4 linked regions of the Mytilus edulis genome follow. The protein of the gene in region 3 purifies or fractionates together with the protein of the main gene of each other region. This does not show direct contact. Links are inferred from orthologs where the notes say so. Each region holds a gene or a part of one and is shown on either strand. Other genes may lie near its edges. The genes, in order: ruvB-like 2, protein ecdysoneless homolog, 116 kDa U5 small nuclear ribonucleoprotein component-like and neurochondrin-like.

Region 1 (7,972 bases), on a different chromosome or scaffold from region 3:
ATTTCTAAAATAACACCAGCAGCTCTTCTGGCATCCACCTGTCCAACCATTCCCTGGGAAACATTTCTGGCTTCAAGTGCATCATCTAAACCAAGTCCTCTGATGTGTGAATGTGCTCCTAGAAATTATTTAATTTAAAGGTCTACATGTTTTAAAAGTGTTTCATATGCAAATATTCTAAGTTGGCCTATATAACCAAGTACCAAAACCTGGATGGTCCTGCTGATGAGTACTATTATGGTATGTTTTCTGATTTTGTTAAAAAAATAATTTATTCAATGAAAAATTGAACAATATAAATTCTTTTAATTCTTTTTAACCCTTTCAACGCTACACAAAAAAATAGAAAAATGGCTGCTGCTGCTGCATTTTTTTTTGTGTTCATTCATTAGAACAGTATATTCCTTTTCAGACTGCTGTATCTTTTTTATTGTAAGAGATACAGAAAAAGTTATTGCATGAAAAATGCTCAGGAGAGTATGAACTGTAATGCTAGGCAGTTATTTCAGTAAAATTTTTATCAGGTTACCTGCATTTTCAGGTAATTAACAGGTAAAAGGTGTAATTTGTTACATTTGTGTTGAATTTTGAATAAAAACTACTTTTTGTCTTCATCTATTTTTTTTTTATCTGCCATATAATAAAGAAGACACCAATTGCTCAATTCCGTAGCGTATTGCACCATACACAACGTATTATGTAATCATGGCACAAATCAGTGGCTCTGTCCTCAAAATTTTCAGTCAACCTCCGTTTTCCCCCCTTTTTCTACGTCTCGTAATGATCGATCAAATCATATTTCCCACATGAATTGAATGTAATAAACACATTGAGATAACAAGAAACCTTTTAACTAATCCTCGTCATCAGTTTCGCCATAGAAATGCTGAAATATTTCCATATTTACAGCTTCGTTTCCGATTTCTGCCATTTGCATTTGTCAAAATATTTGTTTTTATTTTCTTTCAATTTTCCTTCTACTGCATGATTTTACAATAAAAATTGCCGGGATTTCAAGATCAATGAGACCTTGCATATCCTCGATTCATACAAGGAAAAATTAGAGAGGACCCGAATGAAAACCGAATGGTTTAAGAGTCCTTATGAAAAATCCGTTGTCATCGCGGCATATGCTGCGAATAGCAGTGGCGGACGATGTATGTCATCGCGGCATATGCCGTGTATAGCGTTGAAAGGGTTAAAACTAAATTAAGCTGACTGCTGCATGATCTATATGTAAAATTAAAATCTCCATAGAGGAAAGTGTTAACAAAGTTTACCTATTCTTTCAATCCTTGTCACCTCTCTCACTTCTTTAACGGTTTCTGCTGATGGCTGTAACAAACAAAACATATTATGCACATATATCTTCTTATCTTGCCTTGTGTTATTCAAATTTTCAGAATAAAGTAAAAAAGAGATTCTTTAACATGTTTAAGGTTTTTGAGGCAATTTATTATTATTAAATTGAATATCTATCAATCTATCCCTATGCAGATTACAGAATCAGTAGAAGTTTAAAGTTTATTAAAAATAAGTTGGAACTAATTAAGATTTTTTTTACAAAGCATTTTTTATATTTTGAATTTATTCAATTTAGAGGTACTGTGTCTTTTTCGTTTGTTTGAAATTATGATGCCTACATCTTAATCACTTGGTGATGGAAGTCATATGACAGATTCAACTAACTACCATATCCCAGAACTGGTCTATCATGAGGAATAGTGTGAATCTGGGTCTGTTCGCCCAGCGTCCATTCGCCCTAATTTTTTTTATTTTTTGGGGATTGTTGTTTAATTCATGTAATTAAAAAATGTTCATTATTTGAACAGAGTATGTCAGATTTATTTTATTCATAACTATTTTTGCAATTCTAATTAGTCTAGTCATCAGTCGTAATAAATCAATGAACTTATGAATCCTATTCATGTTTTACAATTCGTAAACGATTGGTTTTTTTTAATCATTCCATGCTGACTGTAGTTTATCAAAACAAAATGTTGTTTTATTATTTTTCCATTAAAGACTTTTATGAGTATTGTAATTATTACAACAATCAATGAGAATTAATATTACCATAAACAATAAATTGCTCTAAAACAAGCCAGTAACTTTAACAGTCTGCACGGTTAGCCACTAGTCCGATGCCCCAGACTAGTAAAATTTGGTTCGGACTAGTAAGTTTTTGCAAAACTTTGTTTGGTCCAATAAGAAAAATGTCAGAATATTGGTCTTCGGACTAGTAGTTGAAAAAGTTTTTGGTGCAGACTGACTTTAAAATCTTTCCATGTATTTTCATGAATTTTGAGTATTTATACCAAATAATTATCTGAGTAAACCTATTAAACTTTAATAACCGTGAAATAACATTTTTTTAATCAAAACATGCAGAACAAATTCAAGGCGAACATGTAATCAGGACAAATGGACTTGATACCTATATACATGTATAGCGATTATCATGATTATGAGTATTGTTCATGCTGGTACATATTCAGACTAAATCATTAACACTATTTGTGTAGGTGTACCGTCAGAACTGTTTTTGTACTATAATTAATATTAGACAGTTTTACTAATGATGGAATTGCAGCTGCGGTCCTTATGCTATTTTTTGACTATTTGTGGACCATAGAGCTACGGATTTTTCCTATTTCAAAATGTTCGGAATTGCGACCCAGGTTCAGGTCGCACTTATTTCCCAAAAATGTATTGTTTATAATCATAAGCTCTATGGTCTGCAAATAGTCAAAAAATAGTATAAGGACCTAAGAGCTACGGTTCCGCAGCTAATGGAATTGATGCATTTTTAAATTTCTGAAAATTTTTATTTTTTTATATTTTGTTGGAAAGTTCATCTGAAATTTAGTTCGCAATTTTGGATGACAGATATCCTATAAGACATTTGTTTTAAGTTATCTTCGAAATTGCCTCTCATCAAGTAACAGGTAACTACTTGTGCAAATTATATTTGTTTTCTTTCACTTTTCGCTTTTTGTTTTTGTTGACAACAAACACGTGGGGGCCGTCACCTCACAGATTGGGAACCCAAATAAACTTTAGAGGTCAATATATGTCTAGGAGTCTAGCTTTGAAGTTTCATAATGCTTTCTTTGAATAATCATGTTTTGATTACAGTCTAAAGGAGTTGATTTATCACGAAAAAGAAGAAAATGCGACTTACGACTGCCATTGCCGGTGTTTGTAGCGCCCTCTATCTAAGTACAATAATCTTCTGAGTCGACAAGAATATTCTGGAAACGGACATGTAAAAACGTGAAACACAAAACAGTGTCACAATCTCTATGGTTTCCCACAGGCACATGTCTCTAATTATTGTTAACTTTATATCTGTTATAAAAAGGTATTAAGCGATTTTTACAGAAACATGTGCATGTGGTTTGAAATATAATATGATTGATTCTCTTTTAAAATTAAAAATTGTTTTGAAAATTAAAATTAATAAATTTTATTGACTTGAAGAAAAAAAAAAGGTTCCTGCATGTTGTTGTTCAAATTCATGACAAGGTTTTTAGGATGCAAAGTAAAGTTTATTACCATTTCAAGAAATTGACTAGGCTTAATTCTGTCTTATATTGTTGCAATTTTTGCTAACTTTAAAAAAAACTGAGAAAAAATATGATAAATAAAATAGAAACTATATTCTCAGTAATTGTTCAGCCAAATAAGTGTTAAAAACAGATCTAATGACTGAAAAGGTCAGCCCACTGTTTTAAGTTTTTGCTAAGGTACTTGGGAATAGAACATTTTTTTAAGCACCCCCCCCTTTCTTTTTAATATATCAGTATTTTTTAGTTTTCTTTAAATCTGAATTATTTTTTTCATGTTTATCAGTGGGGCAAAATTAATACAAATATACAAGAAATGACATGCATTTCTTACACTTCCTATTTTTTTTCTTAATATTTTCCTGTTATCTTGAATTGTTGTTGTTGACCTTTCAAGTGATTTTAATATATATATATTTATGCCTCAATGAACTGGGAAATTTTTGGAATAGGAAGGCTTTTGGTTTGTATTGTGATGAAATCTCAAAATCCTGCAAAAGACAGAACTAGTGCAATTTGGTTATGATTAGGAGCTAAATTCATTAACAAATCTTTAGTTAACAGATATGTATGTTTGGTCATCAGTTTTTACCAATTCCTACAGGTATGACATAACCTCTCATCTCTGATCAGACATAATAGATACACAATTAAAATGATAAATTCAAAACTTTACTGAGGTTTTTTTTTATAATGTCCAACATTAATTTTAAGGAGTAATTAATACTTAGCTTCTGAATCTTTATTCTGCATCATGGCTATGACCTGAATACTCTGTTATTCTTTACTTTTTAATAAATAAAGAAATAAAGAGCTGCTGAACTAATGCCTCCTATGTTTTGTGTTTATAGTTCCTTTAAATGGATATCATATGATATCATGTCGTTCACCTGATATTTTTATTTACAATTGATGCATGAAATAATGCAACCGTTAAGTTTCAGATTTGTCTGAAAATTTGAGGGTAGACAAATGTTGACCTGATAAACCCCATTTCAGATTTGATCTAAATGCTTTGGTTTCAGAGATATAAGCCAAAATCTACATTTTACCCCTATGTTCTATTTTTAGCCATGGTGGCCATCTTGGTTAGTTGGCTGGGTCATCAGAACTCTTTTTAAAATAGATACCCCAATGATTATTGTGGCCAAGTTTTACTTAAAGGAGTAGGGGCATTAATGCCTGGTTTTAGCCCAAGAAAATAAAATGTTTGATATCTTTTTCAAATTGGCACATAATGTTTAGAAATGCATAGGATAAAAAAATATAAATGAAAAACAAAGATTTTTAACTGATGACATCACAATTACGTCAAAATATGTACTGTTTCCACAATAATGGTGAAAAATCCAGAATTTATGCAGTTTTCTATCATTATTTCTGTTGTGGAAACAGCGTGCTCAGCCAAGAAACAACAAAATAATTTAACAGAAGCATTATTATAACTGTTGATATAATCTCCCCAAATATAAAGTTGTTTCTTGGGTGTGCACATACTTTTTAAATCTAACATATACTTAAAATTTGATGAAAAACAAGGAAAACCATGAAAATTTTACAAAATTTGCAAATTATGTCATAATTTGTTGCCATGGTAACTCATTCAATGTCAAACTTGTTTTGTTTTTCTGGATAACTTGAACCTTAGTAAAGTTTTAAGTTATTTAAGAATATGTATGAAATTTTTAAAATTTGCAGTAATTTTTGCCCCTACTCCTTTGGTCCTGTAGTTTCAGAGAAGATTTGTGAAAAAAGTTAATGACAGACGATGACGGATGCCAAGTGAAAAGCCCACTTGGCCCTTTTGGCCAGGTGAGCAAAAAATAAAATACTGCTACATTGATAACAACATTTATTGTCATTAAAATATGCAGTTTACTTAAGTGTAGTTGTCAATGTAGCGGTGTTATCAAGTTTTTGTTATGGTTTTCTTTCATGTAGAGAATGATGACTGTATGAAGGACTTTTGGCATCAATTTAAAATATTGATTAACATACACTGTTGGGTTGCTGTCTCATTGATGTATGTTTTCCACAAATGTTTCTGATATAATGTAAATTCAGAAATTCTTGCTTTGTTTTTGTTTTTGTTAAAATTGAGAAAGGATAGGTTTTTCAAAAACAATAACTGATTTATTAAAATATATTCATCTATTCATACTTGTACTCTTTTTAGGGTGACTATATAATTTATATTTTACACCTGCTACAAAAGAAATGGGTGTACTGGTTAACATATGTCCATAGTTTAATAACATTTTGATCAAATTTTTCTCAGGAACTTAAATTTTGAGCTTCTGAAATTTGATATCAAGCTCCACATCGGCATGCTTGACTGTGTGATGCACTTTCAGATTCATCACTCATATACCACAATTTACTGATTACTTGTATTTAGACATATTATGAACATGAATACATTTTTTGTGACAGTCAAGGCTTTCAGAAATATGGAATCAACCTTTTATGTGTAATGCTCTTTACATCCCTCACTCATCAACTTCCTGTTTACCAAATACTTGTACAAATGTATTTAGACATATTATGAACATGAATACATTTTTTGTGACAGTCAAGGCTTTCAGAAATATGGAATCAACCTTTTATGTGTAATGCTCTTTACATCCCTCACTCATCAACTTCCTGTTTACCAAATACTTATAATAAGTAATTTCCTCAAATTAAACTTAAAATGCTAAAAAGGCAAAGAAATTCCTTTTTCATATAAAAAAACAAAGTTTTGCAGAATTTCTTTAATGTGCTAAAATGAATCAAAAGCACTGCATGATGTATCCATTATTGTGTACATACAAAATAATATAATAATAAATATAAATAACAAAATAATAAATTATAAATATAAAATATATCAAGAATTTCATTTTTTAAATTTGAATCATTCATTTACGAATTTGAATCATTTATTTACAAACTTGAATCATGAATTCAATTATAAATTTGAATCATTCATTTACAACTTTGAATCATCCATACATAGGCATATCAATTAACAGACATAAATTTTTTTGTTTAAAAACCTCATACTCCAAATACTCATATACCCAAGATTCAAATCAAAAAACTTTAAAACATGGTAATTTTTTTGGTTTTGAATTCTCTCAGCATGTTCACAGGTTTATTATTTCATGGTTTTTAAACATTACAACACTAATTTATTTTTAATGATATATATTATATAGGTACAATGGTTAATGTATTTGTAGCCACAAAACAACAAAGATCAAATACAACACAAAAAAAACAAAACTTTTACAGTATTCAACATGAAATAGCCAAGTGTTTTGAATCAAGCCAAATTACAAGTTTATATAATGATGAATGATTGACCTGGTAGGTATCTTTCCTGAGATTTCAGGTAGAAAGCACACACTGAGCCTAAATCAAGTGAATTTTTTATCAATTTTAAAAACAGAAAAATTTGCTTGTAGTTTCAAGCCAAAATTTCAAGCAAATTATGACTTCTGATATGTAAAGTAAAAAAAAAACCCAGTGCTGATCAAAGAACAAAGATCTATATCAATTTAGGCAAAGTCTATATACAAACAGCCAACAGTATTAAATTGACATATCTAAATGGCTCAATTTTAAATGTGAACAGCACATTTAACCATAAAACATTACACCAAGACATTAAAGTTTTAGCATAATGAACATATACAATCTAGCAAATGAGGCATCAAACTGTTTAGAATGTATACAACACTCATTTTACATCTAATAAAATAAATTTGTTTCACTTTTAGTGCAAAATCTAATGCATACAAAATTTATATATAGTACATTTATAGTCAAACTTGACAATTGCAAAATAAATAAACTGTTTGGACTAATAATGAAATGACTCACTAACAATTCAATTTCAAATTTGCAAAAATATTTATTTGTATAAATTCTATATCAATCTGATTTCTATATATTTGGACTTTTGAATGTCAAAATGGGAGATAACTCATAACTTCTAAAAAAAATTATTTAATCAATTGTTTAATTTTTAGATTTTTAGAAGTGATTAAGCAAGGAAATTTGATGAAACATTGAAACAATTAAAGGAGATTACAAAATTCTGCCTTTATTTAATAAATCTGGTCTCTCTCTTGTAGACATATATAGGGTTTTTTAACCTCTCCACAGTGTGGTATTATCAAATTAGGAGCTTAGGATTTAATATTCACAAAAAGGTACGAAAGCATATAATACAATATTTTTTCTAGTTCAGTATCAAGCTTTAGACAACATTCGCTCCTGTCAATCACTCAGATTTAACCTTTAATTCATTCAGATAAATAAAATTATGAACATTCTATTTCAAAAACAGCACCAAACTATAAGCAAATATGAAATAAAATCTCTCTGAAAGACTGTAATAAAATTGAAGTACACCT
Region 2 (8,691 bases), on a different chromosome or scaffold from region 3:
AGAAAATCAAGAATCTCCAAAAGAAACATCCTCATATGAATAATCAATATATATATATACTATAATTCACTTTTAATATATAGCAACAGAAAAACTACAAGTCTTCAAAAGTGAACATTAATCACTGATCATGAGTCATGAATATGAGGTCAAGGACACTTGACAAATGTCTGACAGAGAGAAAAACATTTTATTTAACTAGAAGAAACCTACATGATGTAGGAAATTACAAATTCAATGCAAATATAAAAAAAAAAATATATTTTAGTTTAGGTTGTCAGTTTTTTTCTAAAAAAGTTTGAATATCATGAATATGTGCATAATGAATCTTTATAACTTTTGACTATCTTAAAAATACAAGTGAAGGTATCTTACTTTGCAACTAAGCAATCAAACTGTTTGGTTAATGTGAATAGTAGGTAAACAATAAGCCATTCATCCTCAACGTTATCACCATAACAGGTTTTTCCATACAGGTGAGGTGGTAAATTATCTAGAAATAATGATAAGATGTTACACATCTCCTGTTTAAATATGATTATAAATTTAAACTTCATTGTCTTGTAACAAAAATATCAACTCAAGCTTTTTAATTTTAGCAAATTCCTTTCTTTCTTTCTTCAACCATTTTGGGGATCTTTTTGTTGTCTTAGCTAGCTAAACAACAAAAGAGTTATTTACTATACATGTAGTCCTTGGTGTCCAGTGGCAAATATTACACATGTTTAATGCATGTTCAGGACAATATAACTCAGACATGCCTGTGTCTTAGTACAAGACTGAACAATAATGACAATGCTTCACATCTGATCTTGAGCAAATTTTAACCAGGTGCTCCGCAGGGCGCAGCTTTATACGACCGCAGAGGTCGAACCCTGAACAGTTGGGGCAAGTATGGACAAAACATTCAAGCGTGATACAGCTCTGAATTTGGATTGTGATCAAATTTTTGACATTACATGAGTTTTTTTTACACAAAACAAATGTCAAGATTTTACAAATCAATTAAAGATTTCTTCTTCAAACTTTTTAAATCTAAAATTAAATGGTTGACACAGCATAGGTTTCTGACACAGAATGAATGTGGTCTAATGAACTTAAAAGTTTTTTTTTGCCTTTTAGCAATTCACTATGCTGTTGAATATTAATCCTCTCAAAAAAATGTTTGAAGAAATTTTCTTTTTATTTATGAAATCTGAAATGAGAAAAATTTAACCCCCCCCCCCCTTTTTTTCACATCCCCGTTTCCCTTTTTCCAAAACTGATATCAATTCAAATTTCTAATGGAGTTTGCAATAATAACTACTCTTTTAAATACATCATAAAATATTAAAATGTAAAATAAAGTGCTTGTTATCACTGAATGGTAAAGATTGGTTGGTAGTAAAAGTGAATATACATTGTTTATTGTATAAAACAATAAAAAAAACTTCATCAGCAACATTTTATATTGGCAAATTTCCAATGAAGTTATTTACATAAAGTTATTGGCAAATTAAAATAGAAAATGACATCATAGTCATGTCTGACAAATGTCCAACATACATTATCTAAAAACATTTTAGATAAGATAAGGAAAAAAAGCTTCATCAGCAACATTTTATATTGGCAAATTTCCAATGAAGTTATTTACATAAAGTTATTGGCAAATAAAAATAGAAAATGACATCATAGTCATGTCTGGCAAATTTCCAACATATATTATCAACTACTATTCTATACAAAGAAAGATAACTCCAATTGAAAATTAATTGCTATTGCACAATATTGTGCAATTAGATATTTCTTGCTATTGTGCAATACTGTGCAATTGAAAATTTCTTGCTATTGCACAATACTTGATATGGAATCCTGATTTGGACCAACTTGAAAACTGGGCCCATAATCAAAAATCAAAGTACATATTTAGATAAAGCATATCAAATAAGCCCAAGAATTTAATTTTTGTTAAAATCAAACTTAGTTTAATTTTGGACCCTTTGGACCTTAATGTAGACCAATTTGAAAACTGGACCAAAAATTAAGAATCTACATACACAGTTAGATTTGGCATATCAAAGAACCCATTTATTCAATTTTTGATGAAATCAAACAAAGTTTAATTTTGGACCCCCATTTGGACCAACTTGAAAACTAGGCCAATAATTAAAAATCTAAGTACATTTTTAAATTCAGCATATCAAAGAACCCCAAGGATTCAATTTTTGTTAAAATCAAACTAAGTTTAATTTTGGACCCTTTGGACCTTAATGTAGACCAATTTGAAAACGGGACCAAAAATTAAGAATCTACATACATAGTTAGATTCGGCATATCAAAGAACCCCAATTATTCAATTTTTGATGAAATCACACAAAGTTCAATTTTGGACCCTTTGGGCCCCTTATTCCTAAACTGTTAGGACCAAAACTCCCAAAATCAAACCCAACCTTCCTTTTATGGTCATAAACCTTGTGTTAAAATTTCATTGATTTCTATTTACTTATACTAAAGTTATTGTGCGAAAACCAAGAATAATGCTTATTTGGGCCCTATTTTGGCCCTTAATTCCTAAACTGTTGGAACCAAAACTCCCAAAATCAATCACAACCTTCCTTTTGTGGTCATAAAACTTGTGTCAAAATTTCATAGATTTCTATTCACTTAAACTAAAGTTATAGTGCGAAAACCAAGAAAATGCTTATTTGGGCCCTTTTTGGCCCCTAATTCCTAAAATGTTGGGACCAAAACTCCCAAAATCAATCCCAACCTTCCTTTTGTGGTCATAAACCTTGTGTTAAAATTTCATTGATTTCTATTCACTTTTACTAAAGTTAGAGTGCGAAAACTAAAAGTATTCGGACGACGACGACGACGACGACGACGACGACGACGACGACGACGACGACGACGACGACGACGACGCCAACGTGATAGCAATATACGACCAAAAAATTAAAATTTTTGCGGTCGTATAAAGAAGGGTTACAATTTATTATTGGCGATTCAAAGTCAGGCAGAAATGCAATCTAAAAGTAAACAAAGTAACCTTTTTCAGTCACAGCAGTCAAATTAAACTGCTCTTTTTGCCAAATGTGGTCGACAATTGTTGAACTAACAAAAGCAGGATAAGTGTCAATATATTCAAGTAAAATTTTCACTTTGTCTCTTGACATAAGCCAAGGATCCAAGGATGTGTCAACAAAGGGGAAAAGCCAATATTCAGAAGCATTGTCGGGTAGTCAATCTTTCTTTTCTACCATGCTTATTAAATGACTGGTTTGTAATAATTAACTACGATAACGATAGCTTATTTTCAATTGTACACATTTCTACAAAGAGTTGCATCGCCAGTGGCAAATATAATTACACATGTTTAACTGTTAATGCACATTCAGGACAATATAGCTCAGATATTCCTGTGTCTTAGTACTTGACTGAAAAATAATGAAAATGCCTCACATCTTGGGCAAATTTTATAGAAGGGTTACAATTTATTTTTGGTGATTCAAAGTCAGGCAGAAATGCAATCTAAAAGTAAACAAAGTAACCTTTTTCAGTCACAGCAGTCAAATTAAACTGCTCCTTTTGCCAAATGTGGTCGACAATTGTTGAACTAACAAACGCAAGATAAGTGTCAATATATTCAAGTAAAATTTTTCGCTTTGTCTCTTGACATAATGATGTGTCAACCAAGGGGAAAAGCCAATATTCAGAAGCATCGTCGGGTAGACGATCTTTCTTTTCTGCCATGCTAATTCAATGATGACTGGTTTGTAATAATTAACTACGATAGCTTATTTTCAATTGTACACATTTCTACAAAGGGTACCAGTCAAAATTTGCGGAAGTTCAGCACAGGTCGTAACCTCAATAAATTGGCCAATCATTTAGAATGTTACAAAGTGCTTTGGATCCGAATCATGTGATCTATTATTTTGTGAAAGATGTTGAAGCCAAAAGCATTAACTCAAGTTTTGAGTCAGGCAAATACTGGTGGTGTACAAAGCACACTGTAAGAATATTAACTAATATCAAAGTTTATGAATTTAATGATATACAAAGTATGCTAAAAATAAATGAAAACAAAATGAAATACTTTGGCATATCATTATCAGATCAAATCATTAACTGGGTAGAATCCTTTCTTTCAAACAGAACGCAAACAGTACTTTTAGAAAACATGTCATCTTCAAAAATACCAGTCTCATCAGGAGTCCCACAGGGTACAGTGCTAAGACCAATACTATTCTTAATTTACATAAATGACCTCCCAGATTACATCCAACATAGCAAAATCAGACTCTTTGCAGATGACAGTATAATCTACGGATCTCCTGTAGTTGGTGATCGCAATACTGGTATACCAGTATTGTCCACAATACTAAAAAATTTGTACCAGTATTGTAACTTTTTATAAAAAAAAACCAGCAATACTGGTACATTACTGATATACCAGTATTGTAGTTGTATTGTTGACTAGACTATATTGAAGATCAACGGGAGATTAAATGAACTCAAAAAGATTATAAAGGATAATTGTGAAATCAATTAACAACCAGTTAAAAGTCATTACTATACTTGCACAAATAAACAAAGGATTATTGAAATTAACTCATAACATCATTATTATTTAAACAATTGCTAATAATTTTATCATATTTCTATATTTTATTTAATTCAATAAAGATAAAATAAAATAAAAGCTTTTTATTATCTGAGTAATAATTTAATAAATTCAAGCAAATTATTAGACTCTAACACTGTAAATTCAGCATTTACATGTATGCCATCACACATTTTGACAGATATTTTAATACATGTATACATTTTTTGTGTACTAAGATCATATGCATTTGTTTGTCTTTATTTTCTTATTAATCTTTCACAACAAAAGATATCAATATTATTCATTAATTATAAAAAATTGCTTTATAGGGGAACCTTGTTATAATCAAATTAACTAGTTTGTCTACATGAATGTTAAGGGTTGAAGCAGTTGATTCAGAACCATGGACAATACAATTAGTAGCAGATACATGTATATCTACTGGTACAAATACTAATACTAGACCAGCATTCTGACAGTAAGAGAGCTGTTCAAATGCTATCTGAAATAGCTTGTAATCTAGTAAGCGTTAGAGAAAGTCCACAGAGACAGAATACCTAAATACCAATATAGGAAGGGGGAGGGGTTGCAGAAATCACATCTGAAGAAGAAATAGACAATACCAATGCTGATGATACAGAAGCTATAACAGCATTAATGTCAATATAAAATTCACTAAAATATACTACATGAATCTTGGAAAGAGAGAGCTGAAAGAAAACATAGAAGAAAGTATAGAGTTTGTTAAAATGCTGATACAGAATGGTTAAGAAAAAAACATCAGAAGATTTAAAACTTTATTTGATGACAATCACAGTGTACCATCTATGGCATCATCAGCTAAACACAATCATTCCTAATAAAATTGTCATGTCATATGTTAATTTCATTATGCATATATGTGACACCTTTAATAAAAGATTAATTACCTATATTGTTTATTTAAAAAAAAGCACAATACTGGTACAATACTGGAGGGCGCACTACGTTTGCGCGCATTTGGGGATTAAAATGTTTTACGTTTGCGCGCAGCTTTTGATTACATTTGCGCGCATTTATCTTACAGGTAAACCCAGGTAAAAAACGGTATATGATGAAATATGAATAATATAAAATTTCATTAACTTTGAAAAGATGTTTTAATCATAATTTATATTGTTCATATTGTATTCTAAGACAAAATATAAAGTGTGCATGATAAATTCTGTTATAACTTAAGGCATACATGTAACTTCATTGCGAATTTTTTCAGGGTGATCAAGTACCCCGAATAGTGATCTCTTTAAAATTCGTAAATAATCTATTGAAAGCTAGATTGTAAAGTTTTGTCAAGTAACGGACATTTGAAATTTTTTTTAATAGCAAATCGGGGGAGAAAATCATTAGTATGCTATGAGTATTAAAATTTCCGGATTGATAGAATATAATGCAACCGACTTATCCTGCTTGTATCCAACTTCTACCTCCTCGTGGGTGAGTATAGGTGACTTAGTCAAAAGGAAAGGGTACTTTTACTTAAAATAATTGAATAAATTCATAGATAAATAAGAGTTATTGCCTAAGCTTACCTGAGTTTACCTGTCAAATAAATGCGCGCAATTGTAATGAAAAGCTGCGCGCAAACGTAATGATTTTTACGCGCAAATGTAATGGTAATGCGCGCAAACGTAATGCACCGATACTGGAATACAATACTGGTACAAAATTTTTATACCAGTATTGCGATCACCAACTACAGGAGATCCGGAAAAAGATTGGCTTATGTCTTTCCATCCAGACAATTGTAACATCATGAATATAACAACAAAAAGAAATCCCATCCACTTTTATTATAACATGTATGGACACATCTTAGAATCTGTAAAACATGTAAAATACTTAGGTATCACCATCTCAGCAGACCTAAAATGGAACACCCACATCCAACAAACCGCTGCAAAAGCAAATAAATCCTTAGGTTTCATCAGAAGAAACCTTAAAGTCCAATCGCAAACAATTTAAGAAAGAGCGTACCAAACACTCATAAGACCAAAGTTGGAATACTGTTGTACTGTATGGGACACATTTACAAACGAAAATATAAAATCACTGGAAAAAGTACAAAGATGGGCAGCAAGGTACGTGTGCAATAGACATCACAACACCAGCAGTGTGTCTGAGATGCTAGACACCATGAAATGGCAAACCTTACAAGAACGCCAACTACGAACAAGGCTTATAATGTTCCACAAAATTGTAAATGAAAATATAGCCATTCCATCGCAAAATGTATTACAACAGAGTCAGTCTACTACAAGATCCACCAATAAAGAATCCTACAGACAAATTCATTGCAATTAAGACAGCTATAAATTTTCTTTTTTCTGTCAAACCATCAAAGACTGTCCACAAACTATCCTCTGAAATTACCAAAAACACTACTACAGAAAACTTTAAGGATGCACTCACACGTGCTCCTTGATACTTACCCTCATCTGAAATAAACAGATACTCTTGTTTTTATCTTATACCAAAAAATAAAAATAAAAAATGTAATATTTAAAAACTAAATAAAAAATTGTATAAATTAAAAACAAAGAAAAAATTGTAAAAATTGAAAATACAAAAATATATGACCAAAAACAACTTTGAACAAGAAATATTTTGTTAATTTATATTTTCACAAAAATTATTCACATAAATTTATTAAAAAACATATACCAGGCATGCACTGGAAAGTAAACATCAGTACATGGATGGTTTTCTGTAACAAAAGAAGAAGAAAAAAACCATTTAAACAGGTTAAAAAAAGAACATGCAAGCAGGCTAGATCATACATGCAAATTATTAGTCCGAGATTACTCAGATGTCCAACAGCTGTTTTGCAAGACAAGTCCCACGGCCCCAGCTTGTCTGGCAAAACAGCCGTTGGACGTCAGAGTAATCTCGGACTAACATGCAATGTATAAAATTAAAATTATTTGTTTGTTTATAAGAGCCTAAAGAGGGGGGTAAAGGGTGAATAAAAGTTAAAAGATTAGTGCAAGGTGAATGAAAGCTGTCAAATCTTTTGTTATTGATGTCAATATCATGGTTGTTGATCACCTCTTAAATCAGTTACAATATTATTATATTCACCATGAAACCAGAGTGATATAACAATAAAAACTATACTACAAGGAATCTCAAAGTTGGGTTATCATATATATATAATGAATTAGATTTATAATTTTTTTAAATCTTGGTAATTTGACTCACTTTACAGGATCAATTGACCTGGTGTCACATGGTATTTTGAACCTTCTGTAAAGTGAACTTGAGGTCTAAATACCTTAATATGGTAAATTGACGCAGGGGTCATAATACCGTATATACCAGTACAAATTTTCTAAAAAGTGTTTTAAGGTGTAATCAGATACAAAGTTGAAGGAAACCATATGCTCCTACATGTATATCATGTATTGTTTTATAAAAAGGGTCAATAAAAATGTCAAAACTGGAACAGGATTAGTATGTATGTATATATACATGATATAGGTGTTGCTCTCACCCAATTAGAACATTAAGGCTAAATAGAAAGTCCATGTCTTGATAGCTATTTATTTTGATATTACCCGGTAAAAGGACTGCATATTACATGCATATGCACTTTTATTTTGATGCTGATACTTGTAATTATATTCATTTTTTTTTAACAAGAGATTTTTTTTAATTGATCTATTTTTAGGTTGTTGAACAATGAAGGAGCCTTATTAGCCTATTCTGGTTATGGTGACAAAGATGCTGCTGTTTCAGCTGCTATAGCTGGTAACATTTGGACAGCCTATCAGAAGAGTGGGTCTGCAGCTTTTAATGATGATAAATTAAAATTAGTTCTGTTGGAATGTGAGGTAAGAAAAGGAAAAAGCATTCAATGATAAGAACTCAATACCAGCATTTACTTTTAAGGGTCCTGGGATGGATAAAAGGGGTTCCTGTCTTATTTTTGTAAATTCATAGGAAAATCTAAATCTTGTAACATCCTTGTGATCCCTTTTATGTCAAAATTGGTAGTTAATTTTAATTTTGGATAACAATACCAAATTTTAGGAACTATGTTTGTAACAGGATTTCAATGAAAATCA
Region 3 (8,773 bases):
ACAATGTACTTCCTTTTTCCATTTGTTTTCCGGTCTCGTTTGCATGAAACTTTGAGTAAAATATATATTTATCAGTCTAGTATAAAATAGGAAGGAATGCAATACCAATTTCATTTTTAATAATTCTTTGATATGAAAAAACGTTACCTGATCATATAGCCTTTCTTTGTTTACATTGCATATGACATCCTAAGTTAAAGAACGTCACAACTAAAATCCCTAACAACAGAACCAAAATCAGAAACGTTACAGTATTTCTGTTTTGAAATTAAAATATGTTTGAATTAAAAAAAAATTTAATTCATACAGACAGACAGTCCCCTTTCACAGGTAATGATTATGCCTGCCTCATATTATGATAAATGATTCTAAGATGCATTTTTGTGTAGTTAAAAAGAAGTTCTTATAAAATAGGAGCACTGTATACTGTTGAAGACCATGTAGACCTGGAGATATGTGGGCATCTAACTGGATTAGTTAGGAAAGATCTCCTTAAGCTCAATAGGTTAGAGCAATTCTTTGAAATCCCTGACATACTGTTGGTACCATCCATAGATTTTCACAATATTGGCATTGCGAGCATCTACTAGTGTGCACAACTGTATGTAAGTGTCTGGCAGTTTGATATGGTTATTATGTTTGACAGGTCATTGGATGACTGATACATGTCTGACTGACATGCAGGGAACTGATCAGAGGGTTTCAGAGTGACTGCTGAGTTGTACAGTAACGGACCTGTGAGGTCAAATGGATGATGTGCAGCCAAAAAAAGAAAAGAGGGAAGGGTGTTGTAGACCTGGAGTTATAACGGCGTCTAACTCAGTGTTCTCCCCAGAAATTTTGGATAGCATCACATTTTGCGTAAAAAAAAATAACTGTATTTTTTTTTAATGCAGTGTTCTAGGATTTTTTTGGCACCTTGACTTACCACGGGTAAGATCAATAAAAAAATTACTTACCCACATCTAAAAGTTAAATCCGCCAACCAATGCAGACAGCGCCGTCCGCTGCGGCGAGCTAAAGCTCGTCGCCCTTATGGCCGGGGGTCTGGGGGCCGCTCAAAAAACTTTTATGACATGCTTTAAATTATATGTTGTGAAGTTTGTCTGAACAAAGCTGGATTCGGATACGATTGAATTTTATACAAAATTTAAAAAAAACGATTTCTTACTAAATTTGACAAATATGTTATAGTTATTACTATGTCATTTATTAAGAGCTATAATAAATGCAACTGTAAGTTTATTTTCCTCCGATGACAAGAAAAAAAAATCGTTTATGTCCCGATTTAAGCACCAGTTATCAATCCGGATTTTCCGATTTTACCGACACCGTGACCGACTTTTAGAATGATAGGAGAAGAATGTGGTCTCTTTTGCGCTTGATTACACCTAGTAAACGAGTGCTTGAATAAAAGCGCCGATAGACATCGACAAAATCTTCGATCTTTTATCAAAGTTTTTTCTCGTGATTTAATAAAAATAAAAAGCAGATATGGGAAAATTGAAGAGGACCTGGAAATTTCAAGAGTTTTTCGGCTTCCCCGAACTTGAAAATTGACTTACCACCGGGTGACAAAGGCTAAAAAATGACTTACCCGTTGTCCTAATCCACTTACCCCGGGTAACGGGTAATGGGAATCCTAGAACACTGTAATGTCATTTGTCGCGTCGCGTTGATGCTCTATTTCCTTTATATGTTTTAGTTTATATTGTTCAATTCATAACTAAGAATTCAATTAAACTATAACAACAAAAACAGTTGTTTCAGTTTATGTTTTCTTTATTCATTTATAGTTACAGAATTATTTTTTTCCTCTTGTGCCAAATAAAAATAAATATGTGCTTTCAGTTACCCAACACATAAGTCAAATGAATGAATAGTTCATTATAGTGCAACCTGTATATATACAAAACTAAATATCTATTACACAAAATGAACTATTTTTTTATATTATATTAAGTAAAGATAAAGTAGCAAAAGTAGTAAAAAAAAATATCAATTTAAAAACCTTTTTTTATCATGTTTATGAAATTCATTGTTCCATGGCACTCAATGAATTAGTCCCTGTTGTTTCTTATCTTTACATCAAAATGATATGTATTTTTAACAAAGTTATCTAACAAATAGTCTATTAATGCGTAGTTTTCTCTATTGGTATATTTTTTCTGTCTACTGTCCGTCTGTTGTCATTATTGTGAAAATGCGGATTTTTTCATATCTGGTCCGGTTCCGATCTGTAGTATACACAAAAATGTGCTATGGCGGCCGTAGAAAAATTTACGAAAATGAGTCCGAGAATAAACATTGTTTGACAAGAGATTGTGAATGAATAAGACGCTTTTAATGCATTAAATGCATTAAACATAAACTAAAGCCAATTATGATAACTTTTTAAAGAAGTATAAAACTTATTTTAGCTCAAAACCAAAATTCTCGCTCTTGTATTACAGGAAGAGAAAGAAAGTATATTTTGGAGAGTTGCAAATATAAACGACCTTTTAAAAAAAATTCGTTTTAATCTTTGAAATTTTGTAATACAAAACATAGATTTCGAATTGTTTTTGTGATTGCATTTTTCCATGTCGAAGTTGGTGATGGCAGACACGTGGTATAAGTCATGTCACGAGTGTCAGCTTGGGATATTGGCATCCAAACATTTATCACCCTGAGGGCAATTAACACCTGGCTATTTAATCCCTTAATTGCCTTTAGTGTCCGATTTAAAGGGATTACAATTAAAGGTGATGTAATTTTTATGATAATAATCGATAATAGATGAAAGTTCAAAATTGAGGACAAATAAAATAGCATCTTCAAAATAATTATAGCGTCGCGGGAATTATTATAGCATCACGGTGCAAAAATATAGCGTCACGGTACCGCGACGCTAAAACGGCCTGGGGAGAACACTGTAACTGGTTAAGTTCATAGACTTTTTTAAAGCTGCCTTAGGAATAAGGTTTTTGAATCCAGTTGGTTCAATATTATACTTTCTGTCTAATAGTAATAAGCTTCCAATCTTAGGGTTCGAAAAGAGTAACGAAAGTATCATTAGGACATGACAGCTACGGTTCCTCAACTACTTTGACAGGTAACTCAGAGTGAGTGAGGGAAAATAATACCTATGACTGTATGATACTGTAACAAGATCTTTGAGTGGAAAGAAATATTGCATACAGATTTCTCTTAATGTTGGACAGAAGGTTAAATCGTGCGCAAGATGTTCATCCTTCCAGTGGCACAGAGGACATGTTACATTTATTTTGTATTCACTATGTTAAAATTTGTGCTTAATATGAATAATTTTTTTCACAACAGTAGTGATTTTTTTTAGTACAAATGATAACAAAGCAAAAGTAGGGACCCAATCTGATTACGGTGGTCACAGAAAGGCACATTAACCGGCACTCTGTTAAATAATTGAGTTGCGTAATGGTATACCTGATCAGTGTAAGATAAAAGTACTGGAATCAATAGATAAAACAATATTTCAAAAATACATGTGGGACGCCGACACCGGAAGTGTACAAATAACGTTTGGCCTTCGGATTTCTCTAGACTTCAGCTTGTATTAAAACGAAACTGTCCGAGAGTGTTTTTTTCTAAATTCTTTATCAATTACGGACGAAGCAATCAGCTTTGAATACGGAAATGTCACAATTTATGAAAGGAATAATCACAGGCACATTCACAACACTTGCAGCAATTGGCTCTTATCGAATTTTATTTGAAAATGATAACCAAGAAAGTAATGAATTTAAAAAACAAAGATAAAGAATTATTTGAGTTTTTTGCAGTGGTATAAAAATATTAGGGTAAAAGTTTCTATAAAATTTTTGTTGAACACATGAGTCTACACTTACAGTTATACTGTCTTCTATACATGAGGGTAGTAATTCCCTTTATCGTTAGGCATCAAATGGTCATTTTCAGTTGCTGCAAGGATTTGTATAGTCTTACTATACAAATCCTTGGTTGCTGTGAGCGTTAAAATTAAATTGGTAAAAATTTTACAGTGATTCATCAAAATATCTTTATCTTCCTCAATCTTTACAGTGATTCGTCAAAATATCCTTATCTTCCTCAATCTTTATTCATCAGAGGTCCCAAATAATTATCGTCACTGTCTTTTTTGTGAATAGTATAATGTGATTCATCAATATCAGTCGATTTTTTTATCATCTAAAAGAAAGTATACAGTTAATTAACATCATGCACAAAAAATTACCATTAACGTTATTTGGCAACAATTTTACCATTATTTGTCATTAAAGAACCCCCATTACCACCCTCCTATATCTAATAATAATCATGATAATACTGGCATACAAAGTTATTAAAGGTTGTTTTTTTTTTATATGAAAGCTATTGTCACTACCATATAAATCTTCAATTCTCAGCTTTTTATACGACCGCAAATTTTGAAAAAATTTTCGTCGTATATTGCTATCACGTTGGCGTCGGCGTCGTCGTCGTCGTCGTCGTCGTCGGCGTCGTCGTCGTCGTCGTCGTCGTCGTCGTCGTCGTCCGGCGTCCGGCGTCCGAATACTTTTAGTTTTCGCACTCTAACTTTAGTAAAAGTGAATGGAAATCTATGAAATTTTAACACAAGGTTTATGACCACAAAAGGAAGGTTGGTATTGATTTTGGGAGTTTTGGTCCCAACATTTTAGGAATTAGGGGCCAAAAAGGGCCCAAATAAGCATTTTCTTGGTTTTCGCACTATAACTTTAGTTTAAGTTAATAGAAATCTATGAAATTTTGACACAAGGTTTATGACCACAAAAGAACGGTTGGGATTGATTTTGGGAGTTTTGGTCTCAACAGTTTAGGAATTAGGGGCCAAAAAAGGGCCCAAATAAGCATTATTCTTGGTTTTCGCACAATAACATTAGTTTAAGTAAATAGAAATCAATGAAATTTAAACACAATGTTAATGACTACAAAAGGAAGGTTGGTCTTGATTTTGGGAGTTTAGGTCCCAACAGTTTAGGAATTAGGGGCCAAAAAGGGACCCAAATAAGCATTTTTCTTGGTTTTCGCACCATAACGTTAGTATAAGTAAATAGAAATCTATGAAATTTAAACACAAGGTTTATGACCATAAAAGGAAGGTTGGGTTTGATTTTGGGAGTTTTGGTCCCAACAGAATAAGGGGCCCAAAGGGTCCAAAATTAAACTTTGTTTGATTTCATCAAAATTGAATAATTGGGGTTCTTTGATATGCCGAATCTAACTGTCATGACTGTGTATGTAGATTCTTAACTTTTGGTCTGTTTTCAAATTGGTCTACATTAAGGTCCAAAGGGTCCAAAATTAAACTTAGTTTGATTTTGACAAAAAATCAATCAGTTAGGTTCTTTGATATGCTGAATCTAAAAATGTACTTAGATTCTTGATTATTGGCCCAGTTTTCAAGTTGGTCCAAATCGGGGTCCAAAATTAAACTTTGTTTGATTCATCAAAAATTGAATAAATGGGGTTCTTTGATATACCAAATCTAACTGTGTATGTAGATTCTTCATTTTTGGTACTGTTTTCAAATTGGTCTACACTAAAGTCCAAAGGGTCCAAAATTAAACTTAGTCTGATTTTAACAAAAATTGAAATCTTGGGGTTCTTTGATATGCTGAATCCAAAAATGTACTTAGATTTTTTATTATGGGCCCAGTTTTCAAGTTGGTCCAAATCAGGATCTAAAATTATTATATTAAGTATTGTGCAATAGCAAGTCTTTTCAATTGCACAGTATTGCGCAATGGCAAGAAATATCTAATTGCACAATATTGTGAAATAGCAAATTTTTTTTTAATTAGAGTTATCTTTCTTTGTCCAGAATAGTAAGCAAGAAATATCTAATTGCAAAATATTGTGCAATAGCAAGATTTTTTTTTAATTGGAGTTATCTTTCTTTGTCCAGAATCAACTTAAATCTTTGTTATATACAATATACAATGTATATTCACTTTTTACTACCAACTGATGAATTAAAATAATCTTTACCATTCAGTGATAACAAGCAGTTTTTTTACATCTTATTTCCTTATCTTATCTAAAATGTTTTTAGATTATGTATGTTGGACATTTGCCAGACATGACTATGATGTCATTTTCTATTTTTATTTGCCCATTACTTTATGTAAATAACTTCATTGGAAATTTGCCAATATAAAATGTTGCTGATGAAGTTTTTTTTATTGTTTTATACAATAAACAATGTATATTCACTTTTACTACCAACCAATCTTTACCATTCAGTGATAATAAGCACTTTATTTTACATTTTAATATTTTATGATGTATTTAAAAGAGTAGTTATTGTTGCAAACTCCATTAGAAATTTGAATTGATATCAGTTTTGGAAAAAAGGAAACGGGGATGTGAAAAAGGGGGGGGGGTTAAATTTTTCTCATTTCAGATTTCATAAATAAAAAGAAAATTTCTTCAAACATTTTTTTGAGAGGATTAATATTCAACAGCATAGTGAATTGCTAAAAGGCAAAAACAAACTTTTAAGTTCATTAGACCACATTCATTCTGTGTCAGAAACCAATGCTGTTCCAACTATTTAATTTTAGATTTAAAAAGTTTGAAGAAGAAATCTTTAATTGTAAAATTTGTAAAATCTTGACATTTGTTTTGTGTAAAAAAACCCCATGTAATGTCAAAAATTTGATCACAATCCAAATTCAGAGCTGTATCACGCTAGAATGTTTTGTCCATACTTGCCCCAACTGTTCAGGGTTCGACCTCTGCGGTCGTATAAAGCTGCGCCCTGCGGAGCACCTGGTTTGTAAATAATATGTAAATAAGTTTGTGCAAATATAATTGTCTATATTTAAGCCTTACTGATAGTAATGTTTCAGTGAGAAAAGAAGAAGATGTGGTATTATTGTTAATGAGATAGGTACAACTATCCACCAAGAAAACAAAATGACAACAAATTTGATGAGTGTTTTCTTGAACTTACAAATGTATGTCCATCAGATTTATATGGAATCATCAGTCTACACCTATAGCTATACCACTCTTTTGAAGAAAACTTACAGATCTGATGAGTCAAATCTTTTACACAACTAATTTTGATAGTTTATATGTTTTGCTGTTAAACCATTATCCCAAGCTTTTGAGAAAGTTTAGTGCTCACAAACTTGTCCTGAGTGCAGAGCCTGTACTAGTTCATTGGTTGTTGTTGGTTTGTCTGTCTTTTTATTTGTTTGTTTTTTGTTTGTTATTTATTATAAAAAATAATATTTTCAATTGGTTTTCTCTTTTGAATTGTACAACATTTTGTCATGCATAGACATTTTATAACTTTACTATATGAAGGCTCTACAGTCCCCTTTTTCGTTTACATCCCTGTTGATTACTCTCAGTCAACTAGTTTTACTTCTTTTTATATTCACTGTAACATCTGAGAACATTAAAATCTTATATGAGATTTTCAGTAAAGCAGTGTTAGAGAACCCATTTATTACATCACTATTTAATAGATTTCTAATATGTAGAAAGTTAATCTAAATTGGGTAGTATGAAATCATTGATAAAAAATATATCTATGGTAGTAATTTTTTTGTACTTGACCAAAAATGTAATTTATATTGTACATTTTCAGAAATAGAATTAAAATAATAAATCAAGAGGAAATTATCTGAGTTATTTCCCCTTATGAAAAAAAGTATAACTGCTTCTTGAAATGAAAAATTAAAATCTATTGCATTTTATATGAACTGAACAGACAAGATGATCAATTTGGCCAGCAACCCTTTTTTTTAATTGTAGGTTTATCATCAAAGACCAGGGCAAGTGAGACTATTCTCAAGTATGGCATACCAGATCGTGGGCCAGATATAAGGGTTTATGATAATCACATCTTATCATATGATCAGGCAAAGAAAACACCTGTTTGGGTTGCTGAGTATATCACCAAGAGAAATATTGATGGTAATAATTAACATTATGTGAGCCTTATAATTCAAAATGTCTGTAACCTTGGTGACATGAATAATCAAATTGAATTTGTATTAAGAGATCATTTTCTGGTCATAATGTATACACACACTTTTTCCTCCTATTGTTCCATAATTATTTTTTTTGAATAATTGCAGTTTTTAAGAATTTCTATTCCCCTGCAATTTTTGAGAAATTTTATAATTTTGTCAGTCTTGAATAAATAGTATTTTTTTTATTTAAAAGATGATCTGCACTTATTGATTTTATTTATTTAAAAATGACACCAGTAGTTAATCTTTTACTACTATACAGAGTAAGGTTATGATACCATTTGAATTCATAACATGCATAATGAAGAGAGATTTTATAGTGGTTTTGTTTTTCATTTGTTTGTTTGGTTTGGTTTTCATTGCAGTTTAAACATTCAAGGTCTTACAGTCATTTCATAATAAATCCTCTATCTCAAAACTAAATGAAACTCAGAAATCATTTAAGTGATTGTGGGATGTTCTTCAATGAGACAACAACTCAATGAAACATAAAAAAACAACACATATAAAGATACATCTTTTAAATGTCACTTAACAGTATTAGAAATAAGTTAAGTGCTCTATGATTTCAGGACCGGCAGACAGAAGAAAAATCAAATTTAAATCTGATCCAAATGTTCAAACTGAGTTCAGTGCTGAGAACTCTGATTACCTAGGAAGTGGATGGTCTAGGGGTCATATGGCCCCAGCTGGGGATAATAAACACAGTCAGGTCAGTGGTAATAGATTAAATCATGCTGTATATATAATCTTTTATTTATTAGGAA
Region 4 (7,884 bases), on a different chromosome or scaffold from region 3:
TTTGTGACGATTTGTATTTATGTTATTTTTCTACTAGCAAAAGTCACGAAATAAGTTGGTTAACAGTATACATTTTGAACGCCCAAAGATGAATGATAAAAGATTAATATAAAGTAATGGCAATACATGTACAAATGCACCTGAGTAGCTTATAAATTTAATACATAAAGCACTGTGAGATAAAAGTATATAACATGTATGAAAAAACTTACCAGAAGCAAGGCTGCAAATTTTTCATTATCTGTCTTAGAATTTTCAAGTACAGTAAATGTTTTTCTTATGTTTTTATCTTCAGATGTTCCCATGCTATGAATAGTATCCTGTAAAAAAAGATGTGATAAGTAGTTTATAATTTGTATCCACCTCCATACAATACTGTTTTTCAGACTCGGTAGGGGCCACAAGAATGCCAACTATAGAGACATTTGGTGTGCCATTGTACTTAATTGTGACTGAAGCAATGTTGTCTGAATGTCTGTCAAATTTACAGCATAAAGATAGTTGTCTTGACTTAAAAAATTCGTCTCTTCATACCCTTGTCAATTATCTAAAGAAATGTCTAGTGCTTCTAGACCAGAAGAGGCAGTTGCATTTTATTTTCATAGAATAAATCAAGTTTTTTTCACACATTTTACAATGTGTCATTAATTTTCACCCAGGACTGAGGTTTAACTTTACTTTTACTTACACAGATTTTGTGCCGAGTGTGCTCCATCAAGAAACTGAAAATGTTCAGGACATACAAAAATCTCATCTGAAGTTTTGTACTATTTGTTAATAAGGCCAAATAAAAATATATGTGTGGTTCCAGTTACCTACTTTTAAAAAGTAGGGTCGGTAGGTAGGCAATTTTTTAAAAATTTTATTTAGATTTTTATTTTTGATTGTCAAAATCTGGAAAAATCGTGTGTTTACCGAAATTGATTCTGGTATTATACACGCCCCTACCGGAAGTTCACCATTTTTACATTGTTTGGTTGTAAAATAAACAGTCATGTTATGTTTTTAGTTGATTTGATTTAGTTGCATTCTGTTATGAATTGTTTATTTTAACCATAACAGATACTTCTGATTGAAATCCAGATGACAGTAATCTATGATTTTAATTATTTGAATTTACAATCCTTAAGATTTAATCGTTTGAAAATTTATTTTTCAGATATGAAAAAAAAAGTTCTAGGGTCGGTCGAGTAACTGGAACCACACATATATTTTTTTTGGCCTAAACACCAGTTTAATATTTTCATTTGTGGAGAAAGTTGCAGATGAGTTTTAATGCCAAAAAATGCCTTGTCATTAGAATATCACCAAAAAATCGACCAGTGATACAAACATCGTACCATCTACAGGGTCATACTCTAGACACAGAGGAAGCAAGTAAATATCTTTGAGTAACCATCAGCAACAACCTAACATGGGATAAACACATACATGTAGATAATACAGTAGGCAAAGGAAACAGAACGTTGGGATTTATACATAGAAACCTCAAAGGCTGTACAAAACCTTTAAAGGCAGCTGCATATGTATTCATGGTAAGACCTGCAGTGGAATATGCAAGCACAGTATGGGACCCAACCGCCCAAAATAAAATAAAGGCAGTTGAACAGGTACAGAAAAGAGCTGCACGATTTGTGAATAACAACTACACAGACCAAACACCTGGCTGTGTCACAAATATGGTCAAAAATCTAAAGACGTGGGAAAGCCTCGAAGAACGGAGGAAAACAAACAGATTATGCATGCTATTCAAGATCCAGCATGATCTTATAGATATAGACCGTCACCAATATTTGACCCCGAATGATAACCGGACCAGAGGTAAAAACCACTTCTTCCAAGAAAGAACAAGTACAGACACCTACGGCCAATCTTCCCGAGGACAATCAGGGACTGGAACAACCTACCAACAACAGTTACAGCGACCAACACCGTTGAAGGATTCAGAGCTGCCCTGAAGGCATGCTCTGAAAGGAAGTAGGAAAAACCAGTTATAAATAATTTTAATTGTATATTTTTTGTGAATGTTTTAAATGTAATTTGTAAATAGCCAAGAGAAATCTTTCTGTGTTGCCTGACACTGCGTAAAGTTTTCGCGCAGAACCATTAACATTCAGCATTGAATGCCGTTCCTTACCTGGAAGAAGAAAAAGAAGTTGGAGTGAAAAAAAAAACTGTCCTTTGAAGGGAAACTTAGAATTATGGTTAACATCTAAAACCCTTGAGACATACAGGGGTAGACCTCACAACTCCAGCGTTTACTTGCTAGTGATGCAGCAGTTGAACTTCTTTGACCAATCAGACGCGAGGCCACTCAAGAACATTGTGAAAAATTTACTGTTGAAAGTGAAAGTAGTAATCATTACCAAAGTGAAAGTGGGTAGAAATAAAAAAAATCGGCATATATTCAGGACTTAAATTATATTCTCTGGGTATTTAAGGTGGTATGGGTGTCTTCCTCCATCTTGGATTGTAAAAAATAGAGAATCAAAGGTCCAGATTTTCCATCAAGTTAGCAAAATTTGATGCAGGAATGCAGATGTTTAATGTATATTTTCATTTAAAAGTACCAATTTATAAGAATATAACTTCTAAATATTGATATTTTTGCAAATGTTAATTATTTTTGGTTGTTTTTATTTTTTTTTTTAAATTGGCATTTTAAGGGGAGGTAACTCTAAAAAAGTGCATTTTCTGAAGGATTCTGTATGGAATTTTCCTATTTTGTATTTTAGCCGGAAAAAACGTACGGTGACCCTATCTTTTCTTTTGATATTCTCAAAGCAGTGTCTGAAAGCTATCTTTTCCTGAAGTTTTTAACAATTCTATCATTTTGTTTAGTTTCTAATCATATAATGGTGTTTTTTCCTGTATAATCCATACAAAATGTGTCATTTTGTCCCGTCCTGTAGCTTGAGAAAATGCACGGTGACCTATCATTTTTATTATATTTTTCAACATGTATCAATAGATACAACGTTTTGGCAAAGTATGAACAAATTCTATCATTTTTATTTTAGACTCCCATACCACCTTAAGGGGCCCAAGCTCTGAACAGAGTCAGAGAAAACATTAATGCGTTTTGCTAGAACATGCATTAAAAAAATAATGGGCTCTTCATTGTTTCACATTACATGTATGTAACAGTTGTAATTTTTAACAGCCAATTTGTTTTATGCAAGAAATTCAGTTTCAACAACGGTAAAAATAATTGGGATTTGTGATTTGAGATCAAAATGTAAGCTTATAACTTGATATGTTGCAAAAAAATATGTGCTTTTCTGGGAGTTGATCTATTTTATGAAGCTTAAGGGTCACGATAAATTAAATATTTTACACATGCTATAGACTGTAAAAATTCACGAAAAAATGCATCAACCTGATAATGTATTTTACCTGCAGAGAAATGTAATAAACTTACTGCTCTAAAAAATATAATTTTTAAAAGTCGTCTTCTGTTCGAATTTAAAACGGAAGTTGCATGCGGTATGATAAATTTCGAAACGAGGACGGTACGATTCAGATATATATCCGAACATTTTGTTTAGTCTGAGAGGGCTGAATACTTATTGTTCTCTGCCCCCAGAGTTTTATTATATACAAGGACGTAAATTAGTTATACGTCCTTGTTATATACTAGTTATTTTTGTGTAATTAGTTACCAAATCATAAATTCATTATTATCATAAAGCAAAAAAAAAGAGAGTTGAATAGGAAATAGACTGAAAAAGTTTAAGAAGATAAAAAAAATGATTTTATTGAGTCGCCAATCTACAGAAAAACTAGACTGGTTTCCGATCGCAATATTAAGTGTGTTACACATATACCAATATATTGAAAACAAAATGGACACAACAGATTCAATTTTAGGATACTGTGAATTCAGAAATTATTTCATGCATTTATTATTGCGATTTTGTCATTTTAGACTATTACGCAATTTTTATTTTTGCATCATTGAGAAAAGTCCTGTTTGATTCTCATACAAAAAATCAAAATGCGAATAGAAATTTTTGGGATTATAACCCTGTCGCATTTTTCGCAATAATAAAAACATCGCAATAATTTCTGAATTTACAGTATATATAATAACAGCTATAGTAGGCTGTCAAATGAAAACAATAATTAAATTATCTCATTAATAGTCACAAATTCAAGAATTTTTCAATGATTGATTGCACATATTAAATAATGAATGCATTTTGAACTCTTTCTTGTCATCAAATAAGCATTGAGGTTAAAAACAAAATGTTAGCAAATCAACAAATTATTATGAAAAGTGACAAAAAATTCTTTTTGGTAAAAATTCCTCAAACCTAATTTATCTACCCGTAATTTCAATATCGTGAGAGAGTATGCTAAAAGCTAATACCTGGAACGTAGTACCGGGAACCAGGATACAGAAAAACTGACTTGCTTATACTTTAACTCTTTCATTTAAAATATGTTAAGTGTCTGTGATGACAACACTACTAACTCCAAACGTACCTTGAGTTTCCTTAAGATAAAAAAAACTTAGTGAACTGTCACAGATTGTAGGTATTCCTATGGGCACCAAGTGTGCCCCTTTAATAACAGGCTTGTTCCTTTAATGTTATAAAGCACAGTATATGGATAAGCTCAGTAAATATTTCATCAATTCTTACCGTTATTTTGATGATATATTTCGTTAAATAATCAAGAATAATCAATGATTCTCACACTATACGACTGAAATTTACCAAAAGGAACCTAGTTTAGATAAATTCAATATCAACAGCAATACCTGGCCTTTCCTAGATTAAGACTTTCAATATTACACCAGATACTATACTACAAAATTCACGACAAAAGGGATGATTTTCCGCTTTCCCTGTTGTTCATTTTCCATCTTTGGACGGCAATGTTTCTTTGGCCAATCTTACTGTGTTTATATATCCCAACTCGTTCGCTATGTTCGTGTCTGTAGTGACGTTTTGGATTACAATGAGCGTAATCTATGTATTACAAGTAAATTATTAAGTCCGAGATTTCGTTACCACAAATTACTTTAAACCTTTACTAAATTTTTCATAGGTACAAATATTTGGTCTTCAAGTTTGGCTGAACCTGTAAAAAACTTATTTCAAACAGAATAGCATATCCAAAATTTTACGGTGATATCGTAAACCAAGCCCAGAAATTTAGATAAGATCCGGGTAAACGTTTTAATCCTTTAGAAAAACTTATTCAAAATGGAAACATATGCAACACTGAAATTAAATCTTTGAATATCGTTTTTATTGGTTATCAATAAATCAAAACCATACTGAATGTTACACATATATATATAATATATGCACCTTCACGGTACTTCAATCTGTCGAAATTTAAAGTTTGGCATTGCACACGGTCGTGTGTTCCTTTGACTGTTAATGACGCCTTACACTAATCAATTGATTTTTGTATGTGTTCTGATCGACATTTAAGTCCGAGATACATGATTTTCACGTTTGTTGTTATTGGCTTCGAACTAGCTGTCAGTAACTACGACTTACTCTCAGATCTTTACTTAGTGTCATTGTGTTATTGGGATGTACAAGTACCCAGCCACCACTACAGTAATGTATTTTTGTTAGATGTATTTCTATTTGTATGAGGGGGGGGGGGCAAGGGGTTTAACTGTTATGCTGTTATGGGGCAATTTTATTCTTTGTTATCTGTTAATTTGAAAATATATTTGCTGTTAGCTGTTATTGTCTTATTCATTGTTAGCTGTTATTGGGCTTTTAGTTTTTTTGTTATCTGTTATTGTGATAATGTATTTGCTGTTAACTGTTATTGAAAATTGGAATGTTAACATTTTTTTGAGAGCCAATTTCCGTAGAAATTGAAGATCATTGGACATTGGGGTCTACCACTAGTAATATGTTGGTCACGTATTCGGAGAAGGATTCCATTAACATATACCCATTACAGAAGTGAGGTCAAGGACAATTACAGTATATCTTATGATTATCCTTTGTAATAAATTCCATTTTTGTTGGAACATGTATTTAGTATTATCTTATTTTTTGGTATGAGGATAAATTTCCTTGTTTCCCGTACCAACATATTAAATCAGAACAATTTTTAATATGACAAAAAGGAAAACATATATGGCCAGGAATATCTGACAAGAATCTCAATTAAGGACTAGGTCCTTACAACCAGTTAACCTTTTATATAATATGGTACATTGACTCAGCTTTGATTTTTTTCAAAGCAGAACGAAACACACATTATTTTTAAAAAACAGTTGTTGGCATGACACGGGTTATGTTCTTCTCACATATGTTATGATGGTATGCTACTAAACCCCTAACGGGAAGGATTGTGCCTGATGTTCATATTATGAAATCATAATCTTTCAGTCAGTTTAATTGAAGTCTGGAGCTGGCATGTCAGTTAACTGCTAGTAGTCTGTTGTTATTTATGTATTATTGTCATTTTGTTTATTTTCTTTGGTTACATCTTCTGACATCAGACTCGGATTTCTCTTGAACTGAATTTTAATGTGCGTATTGTTATGCGTTTACTTTACTACATTGGTTAGAGGTATAGGGGGAGGGTTGAGATCTCACAAACATGTTTAACCCCGCCGCATTTTTGCGCCTGTCCCAAGTCAGGAGCCTCTGGCCTTTGTTAGTCTTGTATTATTTTAAGTTTAGTTTCTTGTGTACAATTTGGAAATTAGTATGGCGTTCATTATCACTGGACTAGTATATATTTGTTTAGGGGCCAGCTGAAGGACGCCTCCGGGTGCGGGAATTTCTCGCTACATTGAAGACCTGTTGGTGACCCTCTGCTGTTGTTTTTTATTTGGTCGGGTTGTTGTCTCTTTGACACATTCCCCATTTCCATTCTCAATTTTACATTGTACGATGAAAGTTCCAACCATGTACTGGGTCCCGAAGCAGCACATAGCTCATTACAAACAAAGATTTATTTCGTCTTCAAGCCATTGCTCCCCTACTAAACTATGTATTCTACTTACTAGTACACTTAGTCCAATCAATAGCCTGATAAAAAATTGTTCAAATTGAGCCTTTGAAAATAATGGAATAAATTACTTTTGGAGTGTTAAAATTGGTTCGATGTACTTGATAAATTGCATGCTTATAATTGGTGCTTTTGATTTTTCAACCCTATATACTGAACACTTTGCCTCATAGTCTTATGAAGAAAAATTCACACACCTCATTAAATGGGCATTTAGAAAAAGTCAGAATGCGAATATATATATTCAAACTCTTTTAGGTCATTTTTAGTATCAACAAACACAAGAACTATGTGAATTGAATACCATAACAGCCCTTGAATTTTTACTAGATATCATTTTTGTCTCTTTGACATATTCCTCATTTCCATTCTCAATTTTATTACACACTATTTAAATTACAAGCATGTGTGAGTTTCTATAACTGTATAAAAATAAATGCTGAAAAAAAGTATTCTATGACAAATAAACAGCTACGCCATGAGCGCATGATACGCCCGTCGCCCTTTTTGAAATATTCGATAACTTCTATATGTCATATCAGATATTTATAAAAATTGAAAGGGAGCTTCAGTCAATATATATAAACTATACACCAAAGTTTCATGCGAACTGCTGAAAACATTTTTGACCGAAAACTGGAAAATACCACCCTTTTTAATAAATAAAACCCCTTCACTCAATAACATAAAATCTAAAATTAATGAAAATAGAAAGAGCGCTTACAGCAATAGCTATAAACAATTCAGCAAAGTTTCATAAGAACTGCTGAAAACGTTTTTGTGTTAATGTCCGAAAACTGGAAAATTCCCCCTTTTTAATTAACAAAACCCCTTAACTCGGAAACGTAAAATCTAAAATTTATAAAAATTGAAAGGGAGCTCATG

What was found.
Region 1: the proteins of 116 kDa U5 small nuclear ribonucleoprotein component-like (region 3) and ruvB-like 2 purify together in Homo sapiens (affinity purification with mass spectrometry; 5 studies listed by BioGRID and IntAct, with this or other methods). This does not show direct contact. The link is inferred for Mytilus edulis from reciprocal best matches to the Homo sapiens genes EFTUD2 and RUVBL2.
Region 2: the proteins of 116 kDa U5 small nuclear ribonucleoprotein component-like (region 3) and protein ecdysoneless homolog purify together in Homo sapiens (affinity purification with mass spectrometry; 5 studies listed by BioGRID and IntAct, with this or other methods). This does not show direct contact. The link is inferred for Mytilus edulis from reciprocal best matches to the Homo sapiens genes EFTUD2 and ECD.
Region 4: the proteins of 116 kDa U5 small nuclear ribonucleoprotein component-like (region 3) and neurochondrin-like purify together in Homo sapiens (affinity purification with mass spectrometry; 4 studies listed by BioGRID and IntAct, with this or other methods). This does not show direct contact. The link is inferred for Mytilus edulis from reciprocal best matches to the Homo sapiens genes EFTUD2 and NCDN.

Annotation. Positions count from the first base shown.
Region 1 is NC_092350.1:44,666,183-44,674,154, reverse strand, and holds the start of ruvB-like 2, read right to left. Parts: upstream 3,280-7,972; 5' UTR 3,194-3,279; coding exon 3,185-3,193; intron 1,336-3,184; coding exon 1,281-1,335; intron 119-1,280; coding exon 1-118. UniProt on the Homo sapiens protein: Possesses single-stranded DNA-stimulated ATPase and ATP-dependent DNA helicase (5' to 3') activity; hexamerization is thought to be critical for ATP hydrolysis and adjacent subunits in the ring-like structure contribute to the ATPase activity.
Region 2 is NC_092352.1:35,102,858-35,111,548, reverse strand, and holds the start of protein ecdysoneless homolog, read right to left. Parts: upstream 3,763-8,691; 5' UTR 3,733-3,762; coding exon 3,531-3,732; intron 494-3,530; coding exon 376-493; intron 1-375. Other genes in the region: ragulator complex protein LAMTOR2-like, read left to right, coding at 3,927-3,994, 8,295-8,457. UniProt on the Homo sapiens protein: Regulator of p53/TP53 stability and function. Inhibits MDM2-mediated degradation of p53/TP53 possibly by cooperating in part with TXNIP. May be involved transcriptional regulation. In vitro has intrinsic transactivation activity enhanced by EP300.
Region 3 is NC_092345.1:82,432,593-82,441,365, forward strand, and holds the start of 116 kDa U5 small nuclear ribonucleoprotein component-like, read right to left. Parts: upstream 3,592-8,773; 5' UTR 3,445-3,591; intron 1-3,444. Other genes in the region: nuclease EXOG, mitochondrial-like, read left to right, coding at 3,655-3,751, 7,786-7,947, 8,579-8,718. UniProt on the Homo sapiens protein: Required for pre-mRNA splicing as component of the spliceosome, including pre-catalytic, catalytic and post-catalytic spliceosomal complexes. Component of the U5 snRNP and the U4/U6-U5 tri-snRNP complex, a building block of the spliceosome.
Region 4 is NC_092348.1:64,191,128-64,199,011, forward strand, and holds the start of neurochondrin-like, read right to left. Parts: upstream 3,510-7,884; 5' UTR 3,397-3,509; intron 321-3,396; 5' UTR 306-320; coding exon 213-305; intron 1-212. UniProt on the Homo sapiens protein: Probably involved in signal transduction in the nervous system, via increasing cell surface localization of GRM5/mGluR5 and positively regulating its signaling. Required for the spatial learning process.